Alligator mississippiensis: one gene and its partners. The protein of the gene in region 3 purifies or fractionates together with the protein of the main gene of each other region. This does not show direct contact. Links are inferred from orthologs where the notes say so. Each region holds a gene or a part of one and is shown on either strand. Other genes may lie near its edges.

Region 1 (6,827 bases), on a different chromosome or scaffold from region 3:
AAAACACTAAAGTTACACTTAAAAAAAAAGTTTTAAACACTCATGTCATCTTTAAAAAATTGCAATTTACTTATGACCATTTTTAGTAATAGTAGGTTGGAGTGCTATTGTAGCCACGATGACACAGGAAATATGGAAGCAACAGGTGTTTTGGTGATCTCGTTTATTGGACCAATGGTATACATTGTAGTTGGTCACAGAATGACCTGTGAAAGGGCACTTCGGGCCCAATAGCTTCTCTAACATTTCTCCCATTGGTCCAATAACAGGTCACCAAAAAAGGCCAACTGCTTTCACATTTTCAGAAATGACAATTCAGTCACCTCGCCAGTTGTATGAACCCTCCATCCCAAGTCACCACCATAGACCATGCTTTAAGTTTCTGCATCTAACTTCTTCATCTCTAATATGGAGATGTACAAGAAGAGACCAGAGTAGATATATCTTAAGTTTTATTAACTTATCTTGGATTTCAACTAGTTTCCTCCCACCATTTTTACAGGCAAAGGTCCACAGAACCTAGTAATCCTGGGCACAGTGTTTCCAAGTTATACAGGGCACCAAAAAGCACTCCCTTAACAGATCACACCTGGGACACAGAATTGGAGAGGAAGCAGTAAATGGCTTCCCTCACCAAGAGTGAGATGTGAAAGACTCTGAACCAGAGTATGCTCCCAGTCAAAGCCCTTTCTTGACCAGACTCCCTAAGAGATGGCAAGAACTAATGCACTTCCCCAAAGAACAAAATCTTTATACTGTTTTCTGTTTCATAATCTTCAATTTCTACATGGGAAGGCAAGGAAATGGTAAGAGGAGAAGGCTGAAACTATCTGTTGTTTGCTCCAGCAAAGGCATTCTTTCCAAGGGAGGCAGTCTGCCTGGCCCTCCACTAGGCCAATCCTATCATGTATTAACTTAAATAAAATGTCCAAGATGTTGATTTTAATAAGTGCTTGAAACTAGTCACATCAAACCATGCTCCTTTAAAAACAATCCCAAAGTTAACCTGCAGCAAGCATTACTCCAAGAGGTCCTGGACTCCATTTGCTACTAACTTTCAGAACTATGTACAGAACCATCAGAACCTGCTATGCAACTATTTGGTGGTGAAGAGACATGTGAAAAAGGGACCTTCTTTGGTTACTTCCGCTTGGAACTTAAGGTTCTGAACTGCATTAGGTGTGAACAGCTTCCCAAATCTGCAACAGAAGCATATGTCATTCATCTGCATTACCCCATGCCCCGAGGAGCTCAACTCTTAGGCCGTGTCCAGACGTGTGTTTCCCCAAGGACAAGTAGCAGTGGCACAGCTTGTGCTGTGGCTACTTGTCCCTGAGGAACGCCCATGCCATGCATGCTCTGGTGTGCAGTAGGTTATCCTAGATGAAGTAGAAGAGGCTGGGGCCAGCAACTATCCTGGCCCCAGCAGCCCTACCTGGGGTCATCAAGGATCTCCGACCGCAGCACTTCTGCAGCAGGGAGCTTGGCCAGTAACCCGTGTGGCTCCAGCTGATCAGGTTTTGGGCGGCACACACTGCTGTCACATGTACCACCCTGCTTTTTTTTGGCGTGGGTTCTTTTGACCCCAGGATCTCCTGGGGTCAAACAAAACCCACCACACTGCAAGGCAGGAGTCCAGGGAATACCTAAACATGCGGTGTGTGATGCCACAGATGCGTGCCACATACCACATTTCTGCTGGATGCACCTTAAACTTTACAACTTTTGAAACTGGAAGTACAGTGCTCACATTGACGAGAAGCTTCATGTGTTCTGCAAGCAGCGTTCATAATTTGTGTGGCCTTTAAAACGGTCTTGCTGCTGGTTCCAATCCTTAAATCTCCGAGAGTCACGCAAGCCTTAGGGCACCCTCCACTAGTTTTGATAAGATCCTTTGTTACCATCTTTCCGAGTTACCACTACTATTTGAACTACGCTCCTACCATTTAACAAAACCATTTCCTTACAGTTTCTACTGTTAACGGTGAATGGGCAACAATTCTTCTTCCTTTACCTGGCTTCAAAACTGAAAACAAGTCCCCTGCATAGATGGGGAACTCTTTAATTTTACACATGCCTGTCACTACACAACTATATCACACGTCCAAAAATGTTACCCCCAGAACTACAGAGCTGCACCACCAGGTGGAAGACACAAAATAAACATCCTTCGTCACAGGACACACAACTCATTATAAAGTTTGTGTTGATACCAGTTTAAACAAAGCAAAAAAGCAAAAAACACCCCTTTTCTCCACCCCTTTCATGAGCTGTTGCCAAGAATCATTTTCCCAACTATTCAGGTGGTCTAACAAGAGATATCGCATCTACCCGAAGATACTCGACTGTTCTACAATTCAGCCCCTTGCTAAGTGACAATACGTTTATGAAAACGTACAACCCCCGGGGTCAATCTGTGGAAAAAATCAAATCACTGTGGCTCAAACCCTGCATCGGCGTTTCCCAAACTCTTTCGCCCCCTTGAGCTCCCCGGCTCTTTGTTGCCGACAGAAAATTAACACAGCGGTGTTCCCGTTGCAAAGCAGCCCCGCAGGCCGCGGCGGGTCGGGCGTGCCTGCAGGCCGCGGCTCTGACGGGACACCTCGGCTGTCTCCCGTTTGCCCCCACAGTCCCCAGGGGACCCAGGCGGCCGAGATCACCCCTGCCCCGGCCGCCCCACGCGGCGGCCGCTGTGGCCCGGCCCGGCCCGGCCCGGTCCCTGCGGCGCGGTACCTACCTCCCGCGGCGGGACTCCGGCCCGGCCCCGCTGCCCGCTCCGGCTGACGTGGAACGGCCTTCCCCGGGCGGGCCACATCGAGCCTACGGCGGCCCTCACAGGACACGCCTCCTCCGAGCGGCGCACAGAACGGCTCCGCCTCGCACACGGGGAGGGAGTGAGAAAGAGAGAAGAAGGGAGGGGTGGGGGAGGATGCATACGCCTTGCGGGTGGGGAAAGAGGGAGTGAGAACATAACGCATGCACTCTGTACATTCGTTCTGAGCCCCACAGACGCTGCGGGGGGAAAGGGAGAAGAGGGAGCACGGCGCGTGCGCTCTGCGTGTTGAAAAAGCGCGTCTCCTGTCGGCTCAAGGTTCCGCGCATATACGTCTTTGCTCGGAGCCGCCTCGCGTGGGGTGGGAGGGGGAGCGCGGGGCCCGGCGGCTCAGGCCCTGCGCCCCACCCCCCACCGCGGCTCCTGCGTGGTGGCTGCTGGGGAGAGAGCTCTGCCTCTGGAAGGACACTCGGGGCACATGCGGGGTGGCTCCATGAGGCTGGAAAGAGGGCAGGGAAGCAGGCAGCCGGGGGCTGTAGGGGCAGCTTGGGAGAGGCAGGGATGTGTGAGAGCGCTCCCTTGTATTGAGGAGAGGCTGAGGGAGCCGGGCTCATTTAGTCTGCAGAAGAGGAGACTGAGGGGGGATTTAATAGCAGCCTTCAGCTACCTGAAGGGTGGTTCCAAAGAGGAGGGAGCTGGACTGTTTTTAGTGGTGGGCGATGACAGAACAAGGAGCAATGGTCTCCAGTTGCAACAAGGGAAGTCTAGGTTACATATTAGGAAGAATTTTCTCAGGAGGAGGGTAGTAAAACACTGGACCAGGTTACCCAGAGAGCTGGTGGAAGCTCCATCCTTGGAGGTTGCTAAGACCTGGCTAGACAAAGCCTTGGGTGGGATGATCTAATCCGGGGATGTCCTGCTTGGAGCAGAGGCTTGGACTATCACTGGTTCTCAACCTTTTTTGAACCAGGACTCATAGATGGCCAGTCCCGGCCCAGTGCCCCTCACTTGCAACCCACTGCCCCCAGCCCCACAGTGTGTGGGGCATGGGAGGACCAACGCTGAGCGGCAGGCCGGAACGCTGCCAGTCTGCAAGGGAAAAGCCACAGTTTCCCACATTTTTCTCCCTTAAAAGAGAATCCATGTTTAAAGTTCAAGCCCCAACAGTGTCATTGCTGAGCTGCTGGCACAGCTCTTTGAGCTCTCATAGTGCTCCAGACAGGTCCCTGAGGACTGGAAAAAGGCCAACGTGGTGCCCATTTGTAAGAAGGGGAGAAGGGAGGAGCTGGGTAACTTTAGGCCTGTCAGTCTTACCTCTATCCTTGGGGAAAATACTAGAAAAAATCATCAAAGAGCATATTTGTGAAAGCCCAGCAGGAGAAACAATGCTGAAAGGAAACCAGCATGGGTTCATCACAGGTAGATCCTGCCTGATGAACCTTATAGCCTTTTATAACCAGGTCACATGCTACCTTGACACAGGAGCAGAGGCCGATGTCATCTACCTGGACTTTAGGAAGGCCTTTGACACAGTGTCGCATCCTGTTCTTATAGGGAAGCTAACGGGTTGTGGAGTGGATGCCTACACAGTCAGATGGGTGGCCAACTGGTTTAGGGACTGCACCCAAAGAGTGGTGGTCGACAGGTCATTTAAACCTGGAAGGAGGTGGGTAGTGGGGTCCCACAGGGTTCAGTCCTTGGGCCAGTATTATTTAATATCTTCACCAGTGATTTGGATGAGAGCGTGTTGAGCACCCTTTCCGAGTTCACAGATGATACCAAATTGTGTGGTAAAGTTAATACACCGGAGGGCAGGGAGCAGATACAGGCTGACCTGGACAGTTTAGTTCAATGGGCTGAACGTAATAGGATGCAATTCAACAAAGATAAATGTAAGGTACTCCACCTAGGAAGGAGGAATCCCCAGCACACCTACAGGTTGGGGGATGTCCTCCTTAGCAGCTCAGAGGCTGATAGAGGTCTTGGAGTCATAGTTGAACATAAGATGAACATAAGCTGGCAGTGCAATGAGGTCATCAACAAAGCCAGTCGCACCTTGTTGTGTATTAGCAGATGCATGACCAACAGATAGAGGGAGGTTATGCTTCCCCTCTATGCAGCATTAGTCAGGCTGCAGTTGGAGTACTGTGTCCAGTTTTGGGCACCACACTTCAAGAAGGATACGGAGGATCTGGAAAGGGTTCAGAGGAGGGCCACCCGCATGATTAATGGTCTCTGTGAAAGACCCTACGAGGAGAGGTTGAGAGAGATGGATCTCTTCAGCCTATACAAAAGACAGCTGAGGGGTGACCTTGTGGCTGCCTATAAATTTATCAGGGGAAGACAGGGAATTGGGGATGCGCTGTTTACCAGAGCGCCCCAATGGGTGCAAACTAGTGGAGAGTAGATTTAGGTTAGACATTAGGAAGACATTTTTTACAATAAGGGTGGCCGGAGTCTGGAATGGGCTTCCAAGAGAGGTGGTGCTGTCACCTAACTTGGAGGGCTTCAAGAGGAGGCTTGACAATCACCTGGCTGGGGTTGTCTGACCTTGGTCCTCTTTCCTGCCAGGGGTAGGGGGCCGGACACAATGATCCATTGGGTCCCTTCCAACTCTAGAATCTATGAAAGTTTGTTGATCTATTTTCATAGTTTGTATGCAAGCCTTTCATATATTCTTGTGACCCACGGCTTGAGAAACACTAGACTAGATGATCCCGAGGTCCCTTCCAACCCTCATTTTCTATGCTTGGCCCAGTCATGTAGTTCAGTAGCATGTGCGTGTCCTGATTTTAATTGTGTTTGTAACCATAAGCATTTTAAAAAGGTTTTTATAGGTAACCTGCAGTTCACATCTGCCCCAGGCAGCTTCCCACCAAGTGTGATGATAGTGAATTTGACTCTTGGGCTCTGGCCACACAGGCATGGCAGGTATGATTGTGGGATCCAGAATCAGACCCTTTCATGCTTTTTTGCAGGTGCAGCAGGTATCTCAGGCTCCTCCTGCTCTGGCAAGTAGCTAGTTCCTGTGCTGGTAGCAGCTGATGGGGCTCCCAGCTATAGGAGCGCATCATGCACTGGGTTGTGAGCTGTCAGCTGATCCCAGCTCCCAGCCACGGGGTTGCATCATGTACTCCTGGGGTTGTGAGCTGTCAGTTGATCTGGGCACCCCACTGTGGAGGCACACCACCAGTTTTTACATTTTTTATGTAGAAACTTTGTGGTTTATTCCTTGTTTCATCACACCATTAATTGCATTAAAGTGGGTAACAACTTGAGATGTGATTAACTGGTCAGTCACATTTCAAGCATATTGTATGCCATGGGCCTTAGGATGTGTTTTAGGATGGGAAACTGCCTGGAATAATCATCAATCAATGTAAGCTGAATTGTGTATTTCTCACTCCTTTTCTGAGTTTTAAAAGTAGTTTCACTGTTCCTCGTTGCTACAAAAGCAACAGGGCACAAAAGAGATGTTTAACTTGGTACATGCTTTCAGACATTCTGACATTGGAAACTATCTTCTGTATGGGGACAGGTTAACAGGGTGATGGTATTGTGCATTGTGCCCACCTGTGATCTACAGCGCTACCTGCTAGAATGCCTGGAGGCCTGCTGACCGTCTGGGTAATCCAGCACAGTTGCTTCTCAAGGCTTTCAGTTTGTGTTGGGTGTGGGGGTGCCCACTCTAAAAACGTGAAGACTCTTCACCATGCCGCACCATTTGGAGTCAGCGTCTTGCTTCTTACGCTAACATCACTGTGAAGTTGCAGTTGTGATGGCCCAGGAACTGTGCAAGAAGCAAGCATTCCTAAGGGGTGGTATCTTTTATTGGCCCAACTGCTTGGTTGAGAGAGCTTTGGACAAGCTTCCCAATGCCAGTCATTCTTCCTTCACACTATCCCAAAATTGTTGCCTTTTTTAAATTGTGCAGTATTCTGCAACCAATAGAGCATATCCACTGAATTATTTCTTTGGGGTGACTGAGACAGATTTTGTCCCACTCCTAGTTCAACTCTACTCTTTAGTCAGTGCAACATACATAGCACACAGA
Region 2 (7,899 bases), on a different chromosome or scaffold from region 3:
AGGTCCCCACCTCCCTCTTCTCTATATATCATAACCAGCTAACATTGAAGCCGGCTGCTGGCTAATTTTTAGCTACTACAGGCCGTTAACAAGACTCTGGTCCATTTCACAACCCTTTACAGTAGGGGGGGGTGAAGAAAGAATCATTTCATGGAGAATATACTTACAGACAGTGAACGACAACCATGGAAGTTATTCAGTAAATCAGTGATTCTCAACCAAGGTTGCTCAGCACCTTCCCAAGATCCTTTCAAGGGTGTCACAACATAATGTTAGCACTATTAGGCATGCAAACAATTTACAAGATAAACCCACAGATTTCCAATAGGAATCCAAAGTCTTAACTATTCTGACCTGTTGCAGTCAGTTCTTTGCAACAGAAAAATGGCTATTTTTCCATAGCCAAAAAAAAATAAAAAAAATGAATGAAAGTGAGCTGACATTTTCCAAAGAGTATCTGAAGTACAAAATGTAGAGAATCACTATCATATTAGCCATGCTGTTAAAAATATTTAAACTACTTAGGAAGCATAACTATTGATAAAGTCCCCCGTGGTCTGTGTACCATTAACAAGCCTTACAAAGCCCTGCCTGTCTGCTTGCACATCAGAAGGATTTACCTGAACTTAATTCCTCCTCTCATATTATTCCCTTTCCAAGGGTTAACTGCATAAATCTTACTGCACCAACTTTCAGCTAAATATCTGTACAATTTATTTGTACAATATTTTGCCACAATATCTAGGCTACTTTCTTTCCTCCTTGTGTTGGCCTCTTAGACTTGCCTTCTTAGTTGCTAAATAAGCTAAGCTATCCCAATGCTGGAAGAAATATACTGACCATTATGGGTCTCTGAGGTCAGCACTGAAGGGTGAGGCATTTGCTGTCTGCCAAATAGTTACATAACTACTGTCTTAGAAGAACAATAATGAAACTCCTTCCTTACAATGAAAGGCAGCTTTTTTCAGCCTATACAGGGGAAAGTCCAGCCTGATCAGATGGAAACAATTCAGACAGTAGAAAAAGCAACCCTTTCATAGATTTCATAGACATTAGAGCTGAAATGGACCTCGGAAGATCGAGTCCAGCCCCCCGCCCCAGTGGCAGGAAGTCAGCTGGGGTCATAGGATCCCAGCAAGATAAGCATCCAAATTTCTCTTGAAGGCGTTCAATGCAGGTGCTTGAACCACCTCCGGTGGCAGGCTATTCCAGACCTTGGGGGCTCTGATAGCGAAGAAATTCTTCCTTATGTCCAGCCTGAAACAGTCTTGCAGGAGTTTATAACCGTTCGACCTGGTCATCCCTTGGGGCGCTCTGGTGAATAATCATTCCCCCAGATCCTGGTGAACACCCTGATACACTTACAGGTGGCCATCAGATCACCCCTAAGCCTATGCTAAGGAGCCCCATAGCTCTCAGCCTCTTGTCATAAGGTCTGTTTTCCTGACCTCTGATCATGAGCGTGGGCTCTCCTCTGGACTCTCTCAAGCTTCTCCACATCCTTTTTGAATTGTGGAGCCCAAAACTGGATGCGGTACTCCAGCTGTGGCCTCACCAAGGCCAAGTACAACGGGAGAATGACGTCCTGGGATTTGCCTGAGAAGCATCTATGGATGCAAGCCAGCATTTTGCTCGCTTTACTATACTAGCCGCAGTATCACATTGAAGGCTCATATTCATCTTGTGGTCAATCATGACCCCCAAGTCCCTTTCATCCATAGTGCTAACCAGCGTAGCATCTTAAAGGTGAGATTTTGGACAGGCTGTGGGTGGCCTTGAAAGTACCCCAACTCAGAGTCAGAGAGGACTAGGGCTGGAAGGGACCTCCAGGGGTCATGTAGTCCAACCCCCTGCCTGGGGCAGGATCATCCCTATTCAAACTGTCCCATAAAACCATAATCTAAACTCTACCTAAGACTACTGTCAATCCTAACCCAACACAATAAAAGGTTTGGAGGCTGGGGGACATGACTTCTGAGGAGAGGCTAAGGGAACTGGGCTTATTTTAGTCTGGAGAAGACAAGACTGAGGGGGGATTTGGTAGCAGCCTTTAATTACCTAAAGTGGGGGTTGAAAGAGGATGGAGCTGGACTGTTCTCAGTGGGGAAAGATGACAGAGCAAGGAGCAACGGTCTCATGTTGCAGCAAGAGACGTTTACATTAGGTATTAGGCAGAATGTCTCATGAAGATGGTGGCGAAGCAATGGAACAGGTTACCCAGCGAGGTGGCGCACTCTCCACCCTTGGAGGTGTTTAAGACTCAGCTAAACAAAGCTTTAGCTGGGAGGATCTAGTTGCGGCTGGTTGATCCTGCTCTGAGCAGGGCCTGGACTAGATGTGACCTCCTGAGACCCTTTCCAACCCTCATCCTCTATGACTCGGACACAACCCCAGCCCCCTCACCTGCCACAAGTCAAGCAGGGAAACCCGGCAGCCCACCTCCTGCTTCTAGAAAGGCTGCGGGCACATGCTGAGGAGACCACGGGTGCAGGCCCCACACCCGCTACAGAGCAAACAGCCCCCAGCCTGGGCCAGTCTGACCATGAGGTAAAAATCCCTCCCTGACCCCAAATCCGGGAGTTGGCCTGGCCCCGAGCGCAGGGGCCAGACCCTCGAGCCAGGAGCCTCCGGCTTTGGTCCCAGCAGGAGGATCAGCGCAGCCCAGGGAGAGCCCGGCCCTGGCCGCAGCCACCCCCTCGGCTCCGGGGAGGCGCGCGGACCTCGACACACGTCGCAGGAAAGAGGGGGAAGGGGCGGGGCGGACACGGGGCCTCTCGCCCCGGGGCTGTCGCCGCCCCGCCCCGCCCCGGGCACCCACCGCTCGACATCGCCCACCCGCAGCGGGCGCGAGGGGAGGGAACCGCCCGGCCCGGCACTCACAGCTTCAGACTCCCGTAGGCCGCCGCCGCTGCCATGGCACCCCCCGCCACCGCCGGCCCCGCTTGCCGCGTCCCGGCCTCAACAACAAGCGCCCGCGCGAGACAAATCTAGCCGGACAACCGCGGAAGGAGATAGGGGCAATGGCGGCGGGGGGTGGGCCCTGAAGGTCTAGCACCGCTGCCATTGGCTGGGCCCGTGGCTGTAGCCCGCCCACCCGGCCGCGAGCGCATCAGCAGAGGGCCGCACGACCGGCTCGCGCGCGGGGGGCGGTGCCCGCTCCAGCTTTGTGGCTCCGCCTACGCAGGGGCTGGGAGTGGGCGGGGACACCTCGGCGGCGCGGGTTGCGATTGGCGGTCTCTCCCGGCGTGTTCCCGCCCACGAAGCCACCCCTTGCCGCAGGCACTGGGCGGGCGGGGCGTAGGTTGAAGAGAGCGCGCGGCAAAGCTGTGCTTAGGGCGGGCCAGTGGCGCAATGGATAACGCGTCTGACTACGGATCAGAAGATTCTAGGTTCGACTCCTGGCTGGCTCGAGCTCCTCTTTTCTCCCCGGCTGCCAAACGGGCTCTGTTGCTCTCAGGCGGCCCTTCATGCGCATACGGGTCTTCCCCCCCTCTTTTATTTTCCCCATGAAATGCATCCATCCCATCAGGGCTTCCTTGTGCCGTGCCCCACTGCCCACAGCACACCTACGTGCCCTTCATGCTTGCTCTGGCCCACTGTGCCCCTTGGCCCCATCCTGCCCACGTCACCATGCCCCCACACCTGGGCCAGGCTCCATGCCACCCCAGCCCTGCCTCCCTCCACACCAGTCCAGTGACCCCTGCTCTTGCCCACCACAGTAGCACCCCCGCTGCTCTTGCTCCTGCCTGTCCTAAAATGATAACCCCAATCCCCAGGCAGGCGCAACCTGGCACCGGCCTCCCTGCACCGTGCCCCATGCTGCAAATGCGGCTCCTCTGGTGGTGCTGTAATTTCTGCGCGTCATGGCTAAACTGCGTCATTAAGACCCCATCGTGGCCTATGTGGCTGGTGGGACCTGGTGTCTGCCCTACACCATGATCTCCCTCTATGGGCAGCAAGAGCGACTGGTGCCTCGTGAGTTGGGGTGGCACTTGCCCCCCAGCAGCCAGTCAGCAATCGGGGGGCCCCCCTCAGCCAATCGCACCAACCAAGGGAAGATTCCCCCTGTGGCTGATCATGCTGACCTGGAAGTGCCAGGGGTGCTTCTCCTGGCACCCCCACTCCCTGGCTGGTGCTCTCGAGGGGGGGGCACCAGCATGATCACCTGTTGCCCGTCACCCAAGCGCACCAGTGCTCTCAGGGGGTGCACATGCACCCCCATCCTCCCCCTATGTGTCGCCGCTGGTGGGCAGTTATATCTGCCCCACTGGATGGGACATTGTGGCGTCATGAGGTGACACTGCCCTGTTTGGCTGTTGAACCATTCTTTCCCCTCTCATTTCCCTCTTAGCAGAGATGCCACCCCTAGTTTGTGTGGGACAAAGTGGATCCCCAGCCCATGTTCCTTTGGGGTGTGCTTCAGCTCCTCCAACGGGCTCCTGTAGGCCTCACGGGTCGGGAAAGGGGTAGGGAGGAGCAGCTGGCAGATCCCTGGCATGTCCCCATCTCGCTGTGCTGCCCAACCCCATCGATTTGGCTTCTCCCACCCCAACCCTGTTTTTTGAGATAGAACAGGGAAGGCAGCCTCCAGGGGGCCCAGATCCTTCTGGCTGACTTTCCTTCATTTGTCAGAGTGGAAAGGCACACAGGCACTTAATTGGGACCCTGGCATGTAACTGCTTTTCACAACAACACAAGGGTACCAAGGCCCCTGATCCAGGGTGTTATCTGCTCCGAGGAAGGATTCTCTACTGTGACCAAGAACATCTTTGCACTAACAACCAAGTGCATTAGGCGATGTTTTCAGGCTTGACTGAGGCTTCAGGCACTGACCATTACAGCAGCCTGGATCCCAGACTAGATGAACCTGTTTTCTGAACTGGAATTGCAACTCTTGTATTTTCAGCTAGTTTTGCATCTTTACAAGGACTTTGGGTGGAGGCGGGGAGCAGGAAATTAAGGGGCAGCATTTAAAAATATTTGAATTGGCTGAGGAAATGGAACTTGAACATTTAATAACAGATGATACTGACCTTCAGAGTGGCTTTAACTTGACCTGCTTTATTTTAATTGTCAGTTCTTCCTAGGCTGCATGTAATTGTTTGTTGGGAAGACTCTACAATAATGAATTCCAATTCGGGCAACAGGTTCATCTAGTCTGAACTAGCTGTCTAGTCTCAGGCCAATTTTTGTTTTGAGGGAAGATAACGTTTTCCCCATTTTTGCAGGTGGGGAAATTGGGACACCGACTGGTTGATGGTCTGGTTTACTGGTATCAATCCCTTTGAAAAAAAATCAGGGTATGGATAGGATGCCCAGCATCACAAAGGAAATGCACAGCAGAACTGGGACTAACTTGTGCCACAATTGCTTTACTATCTGCCAATTTAAACTAGACAATAGGCCTACTTTAGTTACATTAAAAATACGTTGACATGTAACCAGTAACCTGCCTAGTTGTTCAACATAATGTCTGAAGTTTGCCTGTCCTGAAAGGATTTAAGGGTAGGCCAGGGTATTAGAGAGGGGTAGTATTATTGTGGCCTATAGTGGTTCCCAAGCTGCTGCCTCAGTACCAGAAATCCTCACTAATTTTCAGTCTACACTCACAGTAATAAGACTTCCTGTTATTGACTCCTAATCCAGCCGGAGGAGAAACTTGTGGGGAAGGAGAATGTGATTGCAGAGCCATTGATCATCATCTTTGAAAACTCACGGTGAGCAGGAGAGGTCCCACATGATTGGAAAAGGGCATGCTGCCCCTGTTTAAGAAAGGGAAAAAGGAGGATTCAGGAGACTACAGACCAGTCAGCCACATCTCAGTCCCTGGAAAAACCATGGAGCAGATCCTCAAGGAATCCATTTCTAAGCATTGGAGGAGAAGGTGATTAGGAAGTCAGCATAGACTCACCAAGGGCAAGTCATGCCTGATCAACACGACTGTCTTCTATGAGATTACTGGCTCTGTGGATGTGGGGAGATCGGGGAATGTTATTATATACCTTGATTTTTTAGCAAGGCTTTTGATACAGTCTCCCACAACATTCTTGCAGGTAAGCTAAGGAAGTATGGGATGGATGAATGGACTGTAAGGTGGATAGAAAACTGGCTGGCTCATGGGGTTCAGAGGGTAGTAATCAATGTCTAGTTGGCAGCTGGTAGCAAATGGAGTGTCCCGGGGGTTGGTTTTGGGGCTGGCTTTGTTTAATATGTTCGTCAATGACCTGGAAGATGGCATAGAGTGCACTCTCAGTAAGTTTACGGATGACACCGAGCTGGGGGGAGTAGATACTCAGGGGTAAGACTAGGATTCAGAGAGACCGTGACAAATTGGAAGATTAGACCAGAAGACCTCTCATGAGGTTCAATAAGAAGTGCAAAGTCCTCCACTTAGGATGGAACAATCCCATGCGCTGACAGGCTGAGGGCTGACTGGCTGGGCAGCAGCTCTGCAGAAAAGGACCTGGGGGTTACAGTGGACAATAAGCTAAATATGAGCCAAAAGTGCACACTTGTTGCCAAGATGGCTAACCGCATACTGGACTGCATTGGTAGGCGTGCTACCAGCAGTTCAAGGTGTGCGGGCCGGGCCCCAAGCCCTCCCTCGTCACCATGCGCGGCGGTGATTCCGATCCCATTCTGGCCGCCATGGGCAAGCTGGGGGCGAACCGGGGTTGTACCGAACCCGTCTCCGGTGCACGCGGGCTGTGGCCGTCAGCCCGGACACACGGGGTGGGAGAAACCGCGGGACGGTCTTGTGCACGCGAGTTAGAATTAGTCACGGAGGCGTAACGGTTGATTGAAAAGATTGTTTACTTACACCCGAAGATGGTATTGGTGTAGGCTGGATAAGTTTCCAGGCACAGCTCCCACTTGAACCCTCGTTGGAGGACTCTGACAAAATTATTGCTCCCACGGAGTTTGCTAGGCTCCGTGGGTCCGGTTAAGTTGGGTTCGATAAGTTTCCCCAGAGTTATTCAGGCTCCGCGGGTCCGATACGTTTTCCCCAGAGTTTGCTAGGCTCCGCGGGGTCCGAAATTATAGGAAAGGGATACATCCAGGGATTGCGCTCGGTGACGGGGAGAAGTGAGAAGCGAAAGCTCCGTAGGCTCGGTTCTATTGCTTCTCTTGCCTGCTTAGGGGAGGTGCATTGGGTCCGCGAGGGTCCACAGCGCTTGGAGATCTTCACACAGAATCTCTCTCTCTTCCTCCCTCCTCCCGCTTGGGTGGAAAGCACACAAGCCTTTTGTACGGCTAGCAAGCCAATCGCTAGCCGCCACGTGTGCCTAAATTAGGAGTCGGCCAATAACATGGCGTAGACCCTAATACAAATGGCGGGAACTTCTTTACAGCGTGCATCACTACGATGCAAAAGAGATGCACACTGCAAAGAAGCTGTAATTTGGCGGGAAATCCCCCGTTGCACCAGAGCTCTCTAGCAGCAGAGAGCTCTACCGTGCAAAGAAAGCGACAAATTTGGCAGGAAATAATTTAGCGGTGCCGAAGCACGCACACAAACAAAAAAAAAATCACAACTTTGGGTTGTGACACAAGGGAAGTGATTATTCCTCTTTATTCAGTACTGGTGAGCCCACAACTGGAGTCCAGCTGAGGGCAATGAAAATGGTGTGGGGGCTGGGGGGCATGATTTATGAAGAAAAACCAAGGGAACTGGGCTTATTTAGTCTAGAGAACATAAGGCTGAGAGGTGATTTAATAGCAGCCTTCAACTCCCTGAATGGTGGTTCCACAGAGGATGGAGCTAGACTGTTCTCAGCGGTGGCAGATGATGGAACAAGGAGCGGTGGTCTCAAGTTGCAGCAAAGAAGGTTTACATTACATATTAGGAAGAATTTTCTCACTAGGAGGGTAGTACCCAGACAGGTGGTGGAAGCTCCA
Region 3 (7,346 bases):
TGGGGAGAAGAGAATAAGGGTTAGGGAATACGTCACTGACTTGCCAAAACAAGCCAGAAACAATGACCTCAGCAGAAAGACTCCATGGGATTCTTTAAATTAAGCGTTTTAAAATGATTTGGACTAAGTAAACCAACAGTGAGGAAAGAGGAGTGTTTTTCCTGCCCCCAGCACTCAAAAATAAACCAAGGGAGTTTTACTAAACAGGACCAACAATATAGCAAAGCTGAACAGTTCTAGTTCAAATTAGTAAGCTTTCAGCAATATACCCGAAGTGCCTGAAATCAGCTATTGAAAAGTAGCGACAGACATGCAGATAGTCTTCTTCTAATACCAATTAAATTGAGCTGTGCACTTTTAAAATCTCAGTTCAGCAAGCAGAAGTTAGAAGGACAGACAGATAACTAATTGCATCAACCAGCAGGAACTGCCGAAACAAGAATTGCTCGAGTCTGCTGTTATGACTTGAAGTTTGAGAGTATTTTAGTGTGCATTGCCACCGAAAACACAAGTGGATACCTGGCTGTGGATTGTTAAAAGTGCGCATCAATCTTTTGTTAATATGCTAAGGAATACATTGTTCAACACACCAACAAACTTCAATACTTGTTTTTATCCTGCATAAATCAGTTTCAGGGCAACGATATTCTGATCTGCTGAATTTGGAGCATTAGAAAAAGAGCATCAACACAGGCCATGACCCTACGTAATTTCAAACAAGGCTACATGCCATAAAAGGATTGCACCCAGCCATATTTCATTACAGGACCAGAGCCACATACAGCAGTGACCAGGGCTATGCTCCCATTATTGAAATTAGTTCTTCCCCTAGAAACCAGATGGCTGCAACAGTGCCTGACTTACCTCTGACTCTCACTTGAAAGATATTCTGCAAACATTTTCACTGCCTGGAGTTCAGGGCAAGCATTGGCTCTGATTTCATCTAGCACAACACCGTATTTTCTCTGTTGAGATGAAAGGGAAAGAGTCTGTAAAATGTTATGCGGGACACAGGTGTTGAAGATATGGCCCATGGGCCTCAGGCTGAACCAGTGTGCCAGGGTGCATGCTCCACATGATGCCCATGTCAGACCGTTATTGCACAGGCACTGCATGCAGTGGGCACCCCGTGCCAGCCCCACATGCCGCATGCAGTGTGAACCCCATGCTGGGGCTGACATGTGCTGCATACAGTGTGCAGGGGGCCAATCTAGTCCACAAACTGGCCCCACATAGAGCTAGCGCACGGGTCCAGTCCAGTGTGGGCACCTCACAGAGCGCATGCTTCATGCCCGGGCCCCAGACCAGGGCTGGCGCATGCTGCGCACAGGGCCGATCCAGGGCATGCAGTGCACACCAGACTGGCTCTGGTGTGTGGGGCCAGGCTAGCCCACACTCGTTATCCAGCCTATGGGGCCAGATGAGTTTGACACCCCTGATTTAGAACAAAGGAAAAGACATGGTTGACTACAACACAATATGGGTTAATCTGTGTCTCGTGTTCTGACTTGCTCAGATGCTAAGGCAGGCTAGGGAGGTAGAGCAAAGACAGGATCACCACCACTGCACAAGTTGCTATTAACCAGTATGTTCCCGAGTGCAACCTGACACGATTAAGCAATGAATTTTACAAAACACTCTTCCCTACTCAGGCTTTTCCTGTGCCCCCAATATTTCAATCACCTAGAACAGGCTGGTCGTCGTTCCCATCCCCCCGTCATTCCTACACACTTAGGCTCAGACTGAGACACTTGAGTCACAAGAAGCCCTGCAATGTCTCACCTATCGCTCTTCACAGAAAACATGATTTATTTATGTGTTTTACCGCGTGTACTGGACAGATCTTTCCTGCAGCCATGAATTATACAGCATGTACTATCCAGCGCCATCCATCATTAACTAAAAACATTGACTTTTTCTTTTACACAGGACTGGTTTTGACACCTTCAGGTGCCTGCACCGCTGCGGCTCTTTGCCTGACTTCGAGCGTCGCTGCCCCAGCGCAGACCGAGCCCGATTAGGTTCCCCGGTACTTCCAGAAAAGGGTCTCTAATAAGAATGCAAAATGCTGATTTTATGCTAACCGTTGACGCGAACCACGTAACAAAAGGTCAGCTGCACCTTGGAGCTAAACCCCGGCAAGCGCAGGCGGGGGCCGCACGTGGGGAGAAGCACAGCGAGGGCAGGCGAACGGGGGGATCGCTGTCCTACAACGCCGGCTCTTCGGGACCTCCTTCTCCCATCTCCGACGCGCGCGCAGCCGCAACGGCCGTCGTCCGTTTCGACGACCGGGCCGGACAGGTGCGACGGAGACGACTCGGAGCTGCCGCGGGGATCCAGGCCAGGGGCCTGCGGCGCTGGGTCTGTCTCAGGCTGCGTATTTGGGCTCCCGAGGACGGCAACGACCCCCCCGCGGGGGAGCGACGCCCCCCAGTGCCCTCCGCACTCGGCAGGCAAAACCAGACGCCCCCAACTCCAACCGGAGCGACCCCCCGCTCGCGCGTGAAGCGAGGTGCAGGCCCGGCGAGGTCGGATTGAGCCCCCCCCACCCCCCGGCACAGGAATTGCGACCCCCCCCGCTCACCTGGGCGATGTAGGCGCGGTAGAGGAAGACGTCCCGCTCCACCTCGCGCTCCGGACTGGACAGCTGGGGGCGACAGGAGCGACAATCACCTCAGTGCCGGGGCGGGGGGGGCCCTAAAGTGCCATGGGGGGGGGTGCAGACCCCCATGGTGGTGGGGGGCTGTGTGGGGGGAGGGGCCACTTCACAGGCTCAGCCCCTCCCCCCTGGGGCTGTGTGGGGGCAGGGAGGGGCGCCTGACAGGACTGAGCCCCTCCCCGCTGGGGCTGGGGGGGGAGGGGGGCACCTTGACGCGCTGCGCCTCGTTGATGGCGGCCTGGAAGGCGCCGATGTAGAAGCTGTTCTTGACGTCGAAGAGCTCGTCCGCGTCCCCCGCCGAGCCCCCCCCGGCCGCCGCCGCCGCTCCCGCCGCCATGACACCGGCCTGACACGTCTCCGGAAGCGGCCGCCCAGCCGCCGCCGCGCGCGCGGGGGACGCCGGGAGCCGTAGTCTTCCCCCCTCACAGGGAACGAGCCAATGGCAGCGCGCAGTGCCACTTCCTGAGCGCCGGAAGTGGGGCGGGGAGGGTGGTGACGTCCGCGGCGTGCGCCGGAAGCGGGCGGTGGTTGTGCGCGGGCATGGCCGCGTTCGGCGCGCTGGGGCTGGCGGCCTGGCTGGCGGAGCAGGCGCGGCGCGTGGGCATGGTGCGCCCCAGCGCCGTGCAGGCCGCCTGCATCCCGCCCGCCCTGCAGGGTGAGTGCTCCCGGGGGCGGCTGCGCGGGGGGAGCGGTCCCTGGACGGGTCCTGGCTTCACGTGTCCCCTCGCGCAGGTCGCGACTGCATGGGCTGCGCCAAGACGGGCAGCGGCAAGACGGCGGCCTTCGTCCTGCCCGTCCTGCAGAAGCTCTCGGAGGACCCCTACGGCATCTTCTGCCTGGTGCTGACGCCCACCAGGTAGGGGCGCTCGGTGGCAGGGCTCGGAGTGGTTTGGGGCTGGATGCTGCCCCCTTGCCCCAAACCGCCCCATCCTCCCTGCTCCGGCGGGAGGAGCAAGGGAGCGGGCGGACGCTTGCATCCGTTGATGTCTCGGGGGCGTGTCGCGCTCAGCGGTGCTCGATCAGACTCAGGGCTCACACGAGTCCAGCGTCCTCCCTCCCCAAACCGGTTTGTTTTTGGCGTTACGGGATAACCGAGCATCCCGTTTCGCTTTGAACGTTGCCGAGTGTTGGGCCTCGTCGACGTTGCGCGGCGATAAATTACTTTATGAACAAAGGGGGGGGGGGGATGGGAATCTATTGTGTCTTAGCTTCCCGGTTCCGGCCGTGGTTTCCCTGCGACCCCGTCCTTGGAGGTCCTGGGTGCGGGTAAGGAAGACGGGCCCCGTAACCTTTCCGTGCTTTCCCTCGTCCTCTCTCGTAGGGAGCTGGCCTACCAGATTGCCGAGCAGTTCCGCGTTCTGGGAAAGCCGCTTGGATTGAAGGACTGCATCGTTGTCGGAGGAATGGGTAGGTGCGGGCTGGCTACGAGCCGGACTCGGTTAGCCCGTTAGGCAGAACTGAGCCTCTGCCTGGTTCGCTTCCGGGCCGTTTAAGGAACCGCGAGCTGAAACCATACAGCGACTTGGGGGAATCTGTGCTTGTCCAGAAGCTGTGGCATTCTCCATGTTGGTAAAACCACACGTTCAGCACCAAAACGTGGCATCTCTTGGTTTTCCAGGCCCGGTTTCTGGCTATCCCTTTTCAACAACCACAGCAAGAAGGGAGAACTAATCCAGATTAGGATCTGGATGCTGGTTTGCTTCGTCACTGAAACAACAGTCTGAACAAAACAGTTTGTTTGTGTGATTTATTGTTGACTGAAAATATTTCTTTACACACAAGCCAAGTTCAGCGCACGGCTGCTCATGTCTCATTGAGGGGACCCACCGTCGCGCTAGAAACGAAGGAAACGCTTTAAACGTAAACGCTTCCTTGCTGTGTTTCAGACATGGTGGCCCAGGCGCTGGAGCTCTCCCGCAAGCCTCATGTTGTCATTGCAACACCCGGCCGGCTGGCCGATCACCTCCGCAGCTCCAACACCTTCAGCCTCAAGAAGATCAAGTTCTTGGTAAGGCGGTGGTTCAGCTCCTTTCCTGCTTGCAAGAACTTCTCCCGCTTGACCTGCTGTGCCTGGGCACGTTACCCTAGGTCAGAACTGGCTGTCCTGGCTCCCAGACCTGTGCTCAGCTCAGATCCTCCTGCCCCGCAGTGCTGCTCTTCGCAGCTGGGCTTGACCCTTGTTTGCCTTGGCTAAGGTTTTGGACGAAGCTGACCGGCTGCTGGAGCAGGGCTGTACTGACTTCACCAAGGACCTCGAGGTGATTCTGGGAGCAGTCCCAGCAAACAGGCAGACGCTGCTCTTCAGTGCCACGCTGACCGAGACACTTAATGAGCTGAAGAGTCTTGCCATGAACAAACCCTTCTTCTGGGAATCTCCGGCAGAGTAAGTCTCTGCTGCTTTGCTTCTTGTTCAGTTTACACATGCTTCCCCCTCCTGTGATGTTGCCCCTTCTTTTCACCCTGCCATTCCAGCCCCAAATTCGACCCATTGTGGCATCTCGAAATAACGCCCGTGGGGCCTTTTCTCCCCACCCCCAAAACAGAGTGCGAACAGTAGACGAGCTGGATCAGCGCTATCTGCTTGTGCCAGAGAGAGTCAAGGACGCGTACCTGGTCCATTTGATCCAGACGTTCCAGGACGAGCACGAGGACTGGTCCATTATGATCTTCACCAGTACCTGCAAGTGAGTCCAGCGCCTCTCACCGTGCACCAGTTCATGTTATGGCTGCTAGGGCTCATCCCCCAGCCTCCTTCTTGTTATCAGCAAAGCCAGAAAAAGCATTCACTTTTCTAGCCCAAGTTGAATTTAAGGCAAGTCCTTCCCTACCTCCTGAGAAGGCCCCTGCAGGGCAGGCCTTGCAGTACCTAAAAATATAACCCTATGGAGGGGCCTAGCCTAATTGCTTCCAGGGCCCTGCCTTTGTCCTGGCCAGCAGGGGATGGGAAAGCAGCACTTCCTCCTCTTCCCTGGGAAGGAAACGGCAAGGGATTTAATGTGTGACATGAAGTTAATCCCAATTTCCATCCTTCCATATCCACGTGTCTCGGTGGACTGGAAAAGCCTGTAGTGCTCTTCCAAAAGCTGACCTTTCCCAAGGGCCCTGGCCAGCATTCGCTGACCCCCAAGAACAGCCAGTGTCCACGGGAGGAGAGTTCATGCTAACCGTGGAGCAGGCATCCTGCCTGCTCGCCCAGCCAAGGTGCTGCTGGTCAAGCACTGCTTTGGTGCTTGGAGAACAAGAGGATCGGGACACTACCTGGTTGTGCCCTGGTTCACCCACTCCCACGAGGGCTGTGAATATAATGGGGAAATACTTCCTCCTTCAGGGATTGTCAGATCTTGAACATGATGCTGAAGAAGTTCAACTTCCCGTCGGTGGCTTTGCATTCCATGATGAAGCAGGTGAGTGACTTGGTGGGGGTGAGCTGTGGGGAGCGCTGGGACTGCTGTTGTCCTTCATCGTGATGGGTGCTAGGCCTGCTGAATTGCTGACTGGGGGCTTCGGCTTTTCCTCACTCATCTATTGAGCCAAAGGATTTGGGAGCTCTTTGGCTTTTGACTCCTGGTCCCTTCCCTTCTTGGTTCTCATGGGAGGGGCCAAGCCAAGCAGAAGGCATACAGACCTGAGCTAGCCTCAGAAGCCCATCTCTGCTGAGGTGCCTCAGCCATCACCTGCCCTCTGCTAGCCTAGCTCCAGACATGCCAATGTGGGCTTGTAGCCAGGTGCTATTTTTCATGAGGCCGGAGAGAGCTACCCACAGCCCCTGAGGCTACAGCACTCCTAACCTGGATCCTTTTCCCTTTGCAGAAGCAGCGCTTTGCAGCCTTAGCCAGGTTCAAGTCCAGTGTTTTTAAGATCCTCATCGCCACAGACGTGGCTGCCAGGTAAGAGGAGGTGAAACTTCTCCTTGATGCTGAAAGTCTTGAGTGAGTTTCCACTCAAGGCAGCTGGTCCACTGTAGAGAGTAGGGGCAGGGTTGGCAAGTGGACAGTTTTTTGGGGTCCTGCCTCTCCCTTCCTTGTCCAGTGCAGAACTCCCCATTGTAGCACAGTCCAGGTTCAGGGCATGTTGTGGAGCTCTTCATGTAGCTGGGGCAGCTGGATCCTTCACTCAGCTCCTGCTGTGGAGTACTCAAGCCTGCCAGTTTGCTGGGAGGCAGATTGGCTTGTGGCAGGGGCTGGTTTGCTTTCTGGACCTGAGGAGCATAATGGGTGCCAGGCAGGTTGCAGGGGGCAGGCTGTGCCATTTTGTGGTTGCTGGAGGCGTGTGGGAAGCGGTGGGTAAGTGCCCAGAATCGGTTTGCTTCCTAACCGCAGGCCTGTGAGTGCCTCAGAGTCTCCAAGGGCTCTCAGTGAAAGCTGAGAACAGGAAATGGGAGTGTTTGTGTTGAACTGCTGCCACACCACCCCTGTGCTTGTGCTCCAGGGGGCTGGATATTCCCACTGTGCAAGTCGTCATCAACCACAACACCCCAGGCCTGCCCAAGATCTACATCCACCGTGTGGGCCGTACAGCCCGAGCAGGTGAGCGAGGGAAGCTCGCAAGAGGCTCACAGGCAGTGGCAGCTCTGCACAGAAACTAGGTCGGGTGTACAGAAGAACCGTTCCCCGGTTGGGTTTATGGAGGCTCCCTCGTGGCTGCGGGGCAATCTTTTTGGTGCCAGATCAGCTTCCGGCCTCCTGCC
Region 4 (7,753 bases), on a different chromosome or scaffold from region 3:
AGGGACTGCCGAATCCCACCTCAGCATCTGGCTGAGCGAGTCGAAGAGGCAGGTCAGTACAGCCATGAGCATCAGCTGTGGGCACAAGACACATGGGTCACATGGCAGCACTGTCTGGACACCCCCCTCTCTCCCATCTGACTGCGGGCTCGCCCCCCCACAACGCCCCAGCCTGCCCAGAAACCACCCCCAGGCCAGGCCAAGTTGGGCCCCGCACTCAGCCCCCACACCCAGACCCGGCCCGTGTTGCCCCCCCAGCCCTGATGCCCTCCTCTGTCCAACGCCCAATACCAGGGCAGCACCAGGACCGACCCCCCTCCATGTCCCCCACATAGTTGCCCCTGTACTATGCCCACCCCAGGCCCCACCCCTGCCTGGCCCAGCTCCGCCCCCAGGCCCCGCCCCCTGCCCTCACCTCGTTTTCGTGGGAGCTGCCAATGACATAGAAGTAGAGGTCTATGCTGCTCTTGTAGACCACGGTGAGGCCCTCGAGCAGCGCAATCTCGCCTGGGGGGGTTGGTAAAACGGGGTCAGATGCCGCTTGTAGACACCCTGCACTGGGCCTGGGGGGTGGGGCCCAGGCCAGGGGCCCCGGTCACCCCCAACCCCCTCTGCTGCCAGGCACCAGGCTTGGCAGTGCCCTCCAGTGCCCCAATCCCACCCTTGAGGCAGTGCCCCCCCACCAGGCCGTACTGTCCGTCCGGTGGGTCTTGTTGAAGATGTTCTTCTCAAAGGCCTTCTGCTCCTTGACGCTGGGGTAGGTGTCATCGTAGTACTGGGGAAGAGGGGGCACCGGCGTCAGCCTGGCACTGCACCCACCCAGCACAGCCCGGCCCCCTGGAGCACCCCGCACCTGCCCTTGGGCCGGAGCCCAGGGGCCGGGAGCACCCGCTATTGCTGGGGCTGCCGCGGAGGCCGTGGGCACTTAACTTCCCTCCGCCAAGTGGGCACAGCAGCCTCTGCTCTGCAAAGGAGCCAGGTCCTAGGTGCAGCCCGTGTCCCTCCCCGGCACAGGCGCCCCTAGCCTCCACCACCCTTGGGCACCATCCCTCAGTCCCTGGCACAGCCGCCCCATGCTCACCTTGGCAAAGAGCCGGTCGCCGTCGTTGTCCAGGATGAGGATGGCCTTCACCGTGTACAACGACGGGTCCTGTGGGGACATGGCACCATCAGTGCCAGCCCTGCCCCCACCCAGCGGGTGCCCCCCATCTCCTTGGGGCTGCCCAGGCAGGTCCAGGCCCCGGCACTAGGCTCGGGGGGGCTCATACCAGCCACGTCACGCTGGGGAGAGACAGAGGGCACCGATGCCACCAGGGCAGCTCTCACCCACCTGTCCCACGTGCCCCCCCCCTTATGAGCCGAGAGGCAACCAAGCCCGGGCTCCACCCACCACCAAGCCCTTGGGGTAGGTGCCCCATGCTGCCAGCCCCCTTCCCCAATGGAGCTTGGCACAACACCTGATGCCTGGGAGGTGCCAGTGGGTGCTGCCCCCAGCCCAGCCCACTGCCCCCCTGCAAAGCCTGATGGGATGCCTGGCTGGCCCCAGCACGGATAGGGACCCATGGGGATTTGTCCCCCCCACCATGCTGGTGGCTTTCACAGACCCCACCCCTGCACCAGCTGTCAGAGGGTGACACGAGGCAAGTGCCAGTGGGTCCATGCCAAGCCCTGCACTGGGCAGTGTCACCCCCTGCCCACCCCCTCCCAGTCCCCTTTAATATCAACCCCCCCTTGCACGCATTGCTCAGGTCTCCAGGCAAAACACACACACGGGGGGGGGGTGTACTGAAGTGCTGGCCCCTGGGGCAGGGTGGGCCGGGGGTGACTACCAGTGGGCGCCGGGGCTGGGCCAGGGGTCCCGGGGGCACCGACGGATCCGGGCGCTCGAGACAAAGTTCTGTGATGCACTGACCCCAGGTAGCACAGTCCGAGTGTATGACAGAACTCCGCCTCAAAGGCCACCAGCCGCCCCCGGGGCAGCCCCCCGGCCCCCACCCTGCTCGGACCCCCAGCCCTACCCCCGACAGCCCGTCCGTCTGCAGCCGGGCACCGGGAGCAGGCCGCCCGCTCTGCAGCACACAGCGCCCCGTGCAGCACCAGGCGCCGGCAGGACCCCAGAGCAGCCGGCGGGGCTTGCTCCGGGCCATTCGGGTTGCAGGGGGAGGGAGACGGGGCCCAGGAGCAGCTGCAGCCGTCAGCAGTGCGGCAGGGCACGAGGTGTCAGTAGGATTCAGAGTGAACGGCAACCTGCCCTCCCTCCCGCCCCCCCTGGCCCAGCCTTTGCTACGCTGGGCACTGACATAGGGGTGGGGGGTATGCCCATGGGCCTCGCCCGGCACCAGGGTCCCACTAAGTGTATCCTAAAGGTAGGGCCCAGCCCCCACCTCGTCTCCAATGGTAGGACCCAGACCCCCCATGGTAGGGCCCAGCTCCCCCCCCCATCCCCCAATGGTAGGGCCCAGCCCCCCTGCCCCTTCAATGGTAGGGCTTAGAGCCCCCCATCCACCAATGGTAGGGCCCAGCCCTACTCCTGGCTCCTAATGGTAGGGCCCAGCACTACCCCCCCCATAGGACCCAGATCCCTCTACCCCACAATGGTAGGGCCCAGCTCCCCCCATCCCCCAATGGTAGAGCCTAGACCCCCCCATCCCCTAATAGTAGAGCCCAGACCCCCCTGCCTCCCAATGGTAGGGCCCAGCTACCCCTCCCTGCTCCCCAATGGTAGCCCACCCCATGTCCCATAATGGTAGGGCCCAATCCTCCCCTCCTTGGCCCCTAATTGTAGGGCCCAAGCCCCGCTTTCCCCCACGGCAAGGCCCACTGCCCCCCTCCCTGCCCCCAGTGGTAAGGTCCTGCAGGCCCACCCCGGCCCCAATGGTACGGCCCGCCCCCCCCGCGGCGGTGGTAGGGCCCGGCCGAGCCCGCTCCTACCAGCACCAACGCCTCCATCTTGCGCTCCCCGCTGCCGACGTGGAGCCGGAGCACAGGCCGCAAGCCATTGGCTGCTCGCCTGCCAATCCCGGCTCTACGCCCCGCCCCCGTCCGCACGCTCCCCGTTCACTGGCTACCCCACTTCCTCCTTCTAGCCAACCGGGAGCTGCGCTTCAATGAATGGGCGGACCCCACCCCTCCACCCCAACGAGGATTGGGCGACACCACTGTCGCTCGTGGGCCTCGCTCCTCCCCGCGAGGGGCGGGACAGTTCCTATGACGACTGGGGAAGCGATGACATAATCTTCTTTGCAAGACCTGGGCTGGGATTGGCGGAGGACTCGCGTCACGTGACCGGAAGTGCGGCTGGCCTGGAGTAGGGCTGTGGGCTGTAGCCGGGTCCATTGGGGTTGTGACCCGGGGGTCGGCTGGAGTTGGCCTATGACCTTTGACCTCCGAGTCACGACCCCAGCGTGGGGTGCAGTTGACTGGTGGCCCTTTCTGGGGTCATGATCCTGGGGTGGGATGTTGACCTATGACCCTTGACCTCTGGACTCAGCACTTCTCAGGACTTGGGATCCGGGGGGACCTGCCTCTGGCATAGACGTGTCCCCTGCTGCCCCCGCCCTGCTGGGGCCAGGGAAGGACCCAGGACCTAGGTGTCCCAACCCCGTGCACACGCCATGCACACGCGTGTCCTGTCCCGGGTACTCATGTTCCCCCCAAACCAGCACCTGTGGCTTGTGGAGGGGCCGGGCTGCCCGCTTTCCTCCCCTGGCACGTGCACGCCTGTGCATGGGCATGCACGTGCAACATGTACACTCATGCCAGACTCAGACATGCGTGCCCGCTCACACGCCTGCCAACCCGCTGCCCCCCCATGTTATGGGCAGATCAGCTCCTGCTGCTGGCAAAGAGGTGGGGGCTGCCTGCATGCAAACACAGGCATCCATGAGCGCTGCCATACGCATGCACACAGGTGCCCTCCCACACGCTTGGTTATACACCCGCAGAGACACGCGTGGGCACAGGGGGGCATGCACACAGGCCTGCACCCTCCCCCACCCTCCGGGCAGCCCAGCCCTCCGACTTGTGGGTCAGGCAGGCGGGTCTGGCCACACTGTCCAGAGCCCCCCAGCCCCTGCCCGGAGCCCGCCCCAGCGCCTGCCAGCAGATGCCCGTGGGCAGACCCACATTCCTGGAAAGAGGAAGTTGCTGCACCAGGCCGAGGTGGGGGCAGGATGGGGGCAGGGCGGCGGGGGAGGAGGGGCTTCCAGGGGCGAGTCCTCTGCATTGCACAATGCGGGGGGGGGGGGGGGGGAGGGATGTCCCATTGCACAACCCTGGCCCCGTCCTGGGCTGAGCCATAGTCAAGGGGGCAGGATGGGGGGTAGATGGGCAACAGCCCCCCTGTGACCCCACTCCCCTGGGCAGAGCTGCCATCTGCTGCCTGCTGCCAGGCATCTGGAGGCACTTGGAGCCCCCCCACCTGGCACTAGCACATGTGCACACGCGCGTGTGTGACTCCCCGGACCCTGTGGGGGTGGGCGCGAGCCAGGGGGGAAACTCGGAGTCTGGGGGGGGCAGCTGGGACCAGTGGGTAGAGCAGGGACTTGGTGGAGGACACCTGGGTCCTATCCCAGTGGGGCTGGCTTCTTTCCCCAGCTCAGGGCAGGGAGTGGGGTTGAGTGGGTTAGGAGCGGGGGGGCCCGGACGCCTGGGTTCCTCGGCAGGGAAGTGCTGGGGCCGGGGGAAGCGGCCGAGGCCCCGCCGGTTGCAGAGGAAGCTGCTGGGCGGATCCGCTGCGTGGTGCTGATAAGCGGGCGGCCCCCGCCTGCCCAGCCCCTCCTTCCCCCCCGTAACAGCCTGGCTCCGGGACAGTGGGCTCTGCTCTCAGCCTAGCTGCCCTCCGCGCACCGTGCCCTGGTGAGCAGCTCTGCCAGGATCGGTGCCTCCCAGGCCTGGGAACGCAGCCACCTCTGAGGTGGGCAGGTGGCTGCTTCGCCACACACAACACCAGGGGCGCTCGCAATGCCGGGGGCCCAGCTCAGCCCCTGCCTCCAGCCCTGCCAGGGCCCAGCATGGCCAGGCGGGCGGGGGGGCGCTGGGTGCTGGTTATAAATGGTCCATCTGGCACCAGACGCCGGAGGTGGGAGGGAAACCGCAGTAACGGCCGAGGGGCAAGGGGCGGGGGGGCGACCAGCTGGAGCCTGGCCCAGGAGCCCCGGGGGCACAAGAGAGCCCGTGCCCACGCGTGTCGCCTGCCACATGCGTGGCCTGCGCATGCAATACGTATGTGCTCTCAGTGCCAGCATAAGTCAGAGCACGGGGCTGGGTCTTGTTGCAGCTCAGTGTGGTCCCGTAGCCAGAGCTGCGGACATGTGGCCACGTGCCACTAGTGTGTTTTGTGCCCCCCTGCAGTTGACTGGCACAGATTTACCCCCGGTTTGCCCGGCGGGAGACAGGCGGAGCGTGGGACACGCACATGCTAAGTGTGTGGTGTGTGTTGCAGACGAGTGCGGCCCTGACGTGCCCACGTACGTTCTGAGCTGCACTCCCGTGTCGCGTGTGCTGTGGGTGCACGAGGAGCCAGTAACCTGGGAGTGGCATGTTACAGGTGTGTGCGGCCCTGGCGTTCCTGGTGTGCTCCAGGCCAGGTTCCCCATGTGTGATGTGTCATAGGCATGTGCCCACCCTGCTTCCAGCTTGTGTTCCTGGCACAACTCGGGGCTGGGCCTGTACCTTTAAGGCCCATAAAGGGGCTTTTGTTGCTGCTGGCAGGAGTGGGGAAAGGGCCGTGGCGTGGCCCCACCTGCCCCAGGTCTCCTCCTGGCCAGCTTCGGGGTCCCTTCTTCAAAGCCAGGACGCCTGGCTTCCACCCCAGCTCTGCAGTGTGCTGGGCATGCAAGTGCCCATGCTCATGAGCACCAAGAGGCCCAGAATCTGGGCCAGGGGGTGGCTGGAGGGGCAGTGCCAAGCCATGACCCTGCCAGCCTCCACCCTTCCCCCCTCCATGGAGAAACTGAGGCACGGAGCAGGCTGGGCCAGGACTGGGCCACCACCGTCCTCGACTCCTGGGTTCTGCATTCAGCTCTGAAAGGCGAGCAGGGTGTCCTGGGTAGGGCTGGGAGCCGGGGTGCCTGGGTTTTCTTTCTTGGTCCCCTGCCGTGACCTGGGCCTGGCCTGTCCCCTCTCCATGCCTCAGTTTCCCTGCTCGTTGGCTGGCTCCCACAGTGGGGGTGGGGCCAATTTGGGATCCTCCCATAAACGGCGCAGTCTCCAGTGCCTGCCTTATACCCCCCCACCCCCAGATGCTGCCCCCGGGGCGCACACAAGCAGCCTGTTCAGTGTACACATGTGCACACACACACGTGTGATCTGGGGAGTCCCTGGGGGGCAATGGGCGGGGGGGAGACACACTTAGCTTTGTGCTACAGTTGGCCCAGGAGTCTCGGAGCCAGCTTGGTGCCATGTGTGTGCATGTTTGCACGTGTGTGTGCACACATGTCACTGCTTTAGTGTCTGTGGATCGCTGCGTGGAGCCCTGTCTGTGTGCGTGTGTGTGTTGCACATTGGTGCAGCGCTTCTGCGGATGTCCCCTTGTCACACACACGTCCCCATATTGTCGGGGGCTCCTTGTGTGAGTCTGTGTTGTGCCGTCACACATGCCTTCCAGAGCAGGCGTGCGTGGCTATGCACCAGGCGTGCGTGCACATCCACGTACGTTGTGTGTTGGGCCTGACCCCCCTGGGCTCAGAGCATGTCAGTAAGCACACGCATGTGTGTGAGTACATGTGAAGGAGATACCTCAGTGTGCATTGCATGTGTTGTTCCGTGTGCACGTGGCCCCGTGCGTCATGTTGCAGTGTCCCCGTGTGCGTGTTGCTGTGTGCCTATGCACACGTGTGTGGCCCCATGTGTGGTGTGCGCATGTCTGTGGGGGTCTGACCGAGTGCAGCGCACATTGCTGTTCATGGGTGCACGCAGGGCACTGTGTGCTCCGTGTGTGTGTGCACAGGGGAAGTGTCGTGCGTGTGTCGCCCATCATGTGTCATGTGCATGGGCATGCGTGTCCCTCAGGCTCACGTTTCCCTGCTGTGAGGCCTCCACCGTAGGGCCGGGAGGGTGGAGGGGGGTGGCTGCCGGTGCCTGTGTGGCCACAAGCAGGGGAGGCGTCGGGCTGCGGCCCCGGCTTATGTAACCGCCGCCCGCCTGGGGCCGGCACAGAGCCACAGCTGCCACGGCCACGGCCCTGCCGCCTGCGCCATGGGGGTGCCCTGAGCCCCCAGGCTTCGTGCCCACGTCCCCGGGACCCCAGCAGGTAAGACCTGTGGCTTCTCAATGGGGACTTTGTTCTGCCCGATGCTGTGGCAGGTGTGGGAACCTGAGAGCCGTGGGCTGGGTGGCGGGGCGCAGGGGCTGCTCCAGGCCCCCCACCTCCAGTTGTGGCCCCAGATCAACCCCCCGGGCACCTGGGTCCATTCCCTGCCCCCCTCCCCTCAGCTCCCGGGGTGCAGAGAGGTCTGGCTGGGGCTCTCCAGGCATGTCTGGGGGACACCGGGTGCTGGGAACCCAGGAGTCCAGGGCAGGGGTGGGGGCGTGGGGCAGCAGGTGCGTGTGTGCCAGGGGGAGGGGGTGCTGGTCACAGGTCTTGCACACCACCGACTCTGGGGGTATCAGGGGTTGGCTCTTGCTGGAGGGGAGGGGGGTTGTGGCAGGCAGAGTTTGCACACACACACACACACACACACACACACACTTGTTTATAGGCACAATACGTGTGCATGCTCATGCACATGCATGCACACGCATGCACACGCAC

What was found.
Region 1: the proteins of COPE (region 3) and COPB1 purify together in Homo sapiens (affinity purification with mass spectrometry; 6 studies listed by BioGRID and IntAct, with this or other methods). This does not show direct contact. The link is inferred for Alligator mississippiensis from reciprocal best matches to the Homo sapiens genes COPE and COPB1.
Region 2: the proteins of COPE (region 3) and SACM1L purify together in Homo sapiens (affinity purification with mass spectrometry; 4 studies listed by BioGRID and IntAct, with this or other methods). This does not show direct contact. The link is inferred for Alligator mississippiensis from reciprocal best matches to the Homo sapiens genes COPE and SACM1L.
Region 4: the proteins of COPE (region 3) and COPZ1 purify together in Homo sapiens (affinity purification with mass spectrometry; 3 studies listed by BioGRID and IntAct, with this or other methods). This does not show direct contact. The link is inferred for Alligator mississippiensis from reciprocal best matches to the Homo sapiens genes COPE and COPZ1.

The regions. Positions count from the first base shown.
Region 1 is NC_081825.1:195,520,858-195,527,684, reverse strand, and holds the start of COPB1 (coatomer subunit beta), read right to left. Parts: upstream 3,014-6,827; 5' UTR 2,738-3,013; intron 1-2,737. UniProt on the Homo sapiens protein: The coatomer is a cytosolic protein complex that binds to dilysine motifs and reversibly associates with Golgi non-clathrin-coated vesicles, which further mediate biosynthetic protein transport from the ER, via the Golgi up to the trans Golgi network.
Region 2 is NC_081828.1:137,171,876-137,179,774, reverse strand, and holds the start of SACM1L (phosphatidylinositol-3-phosphatase SAC1), read right to left. Parts: upstream 3,017-7,899; 5' UTR 2,916-3,016; coding exon 2,881-2,915; intron 1-2,880.
Region 3 is NC_081839.1:1,337,381-1,344,726, forward strand, and holds the start of COPE (coatomer subunit epsilon), read right to left. Parts: upstream 3,012-7,346; 5' UTR 2,997-3,011; coding exon 2,868-2,996; intron 2,648-2,867; coding exon 2,585-2,647; intron 966-2,584; coding exon 865-965; intron 1-864. Other genes in the region: probable ATP-dependent RNA helicase DDX49, read left to right, coding at 3,200-3,314, 3,392-3,515, 3,981-4,066, 4,546-4,667, 4,855-5,042, 5,203-5,343, 5,988-6,063, 6,470-6,546 and 1 more. UniProt on the Homo sapiens protein: The coatomer is a cytosolic protein complex that binds to dilysine motifs and reversibly associates with Golgi non-clathrin-coated vesicles, which further mediate biosynthetic protein transport from the ER, via the Golgi up to the trans Golgi network.
Region 4 is NC_081838.1:7,959,341-7,967,093, forward strand, and holds the start of COPZ1 (coatomer subunit zeta-1), read right to left. Parts: upstream 3,018-7,753; 5' UTR 2,950-3,017; coding exon 2,932-2,949; intron 1,151-2,931; coding exon 1,082-1,150; intron 776-1,081; coding exon 694-775; intron 508-693; coding exon 416-507; intron 76-415; coding exon 20-75; intron 1-19. UniProt on the Homo sapiens protein: The coatomer is a cytosolic protein complex that binds to dilysine motifs and reversibly associates with Golgi non-clathrin-coated vesicles, which further mediate biosynthetic protein transport from the ER, via the Golgi up to the trans Golgi network.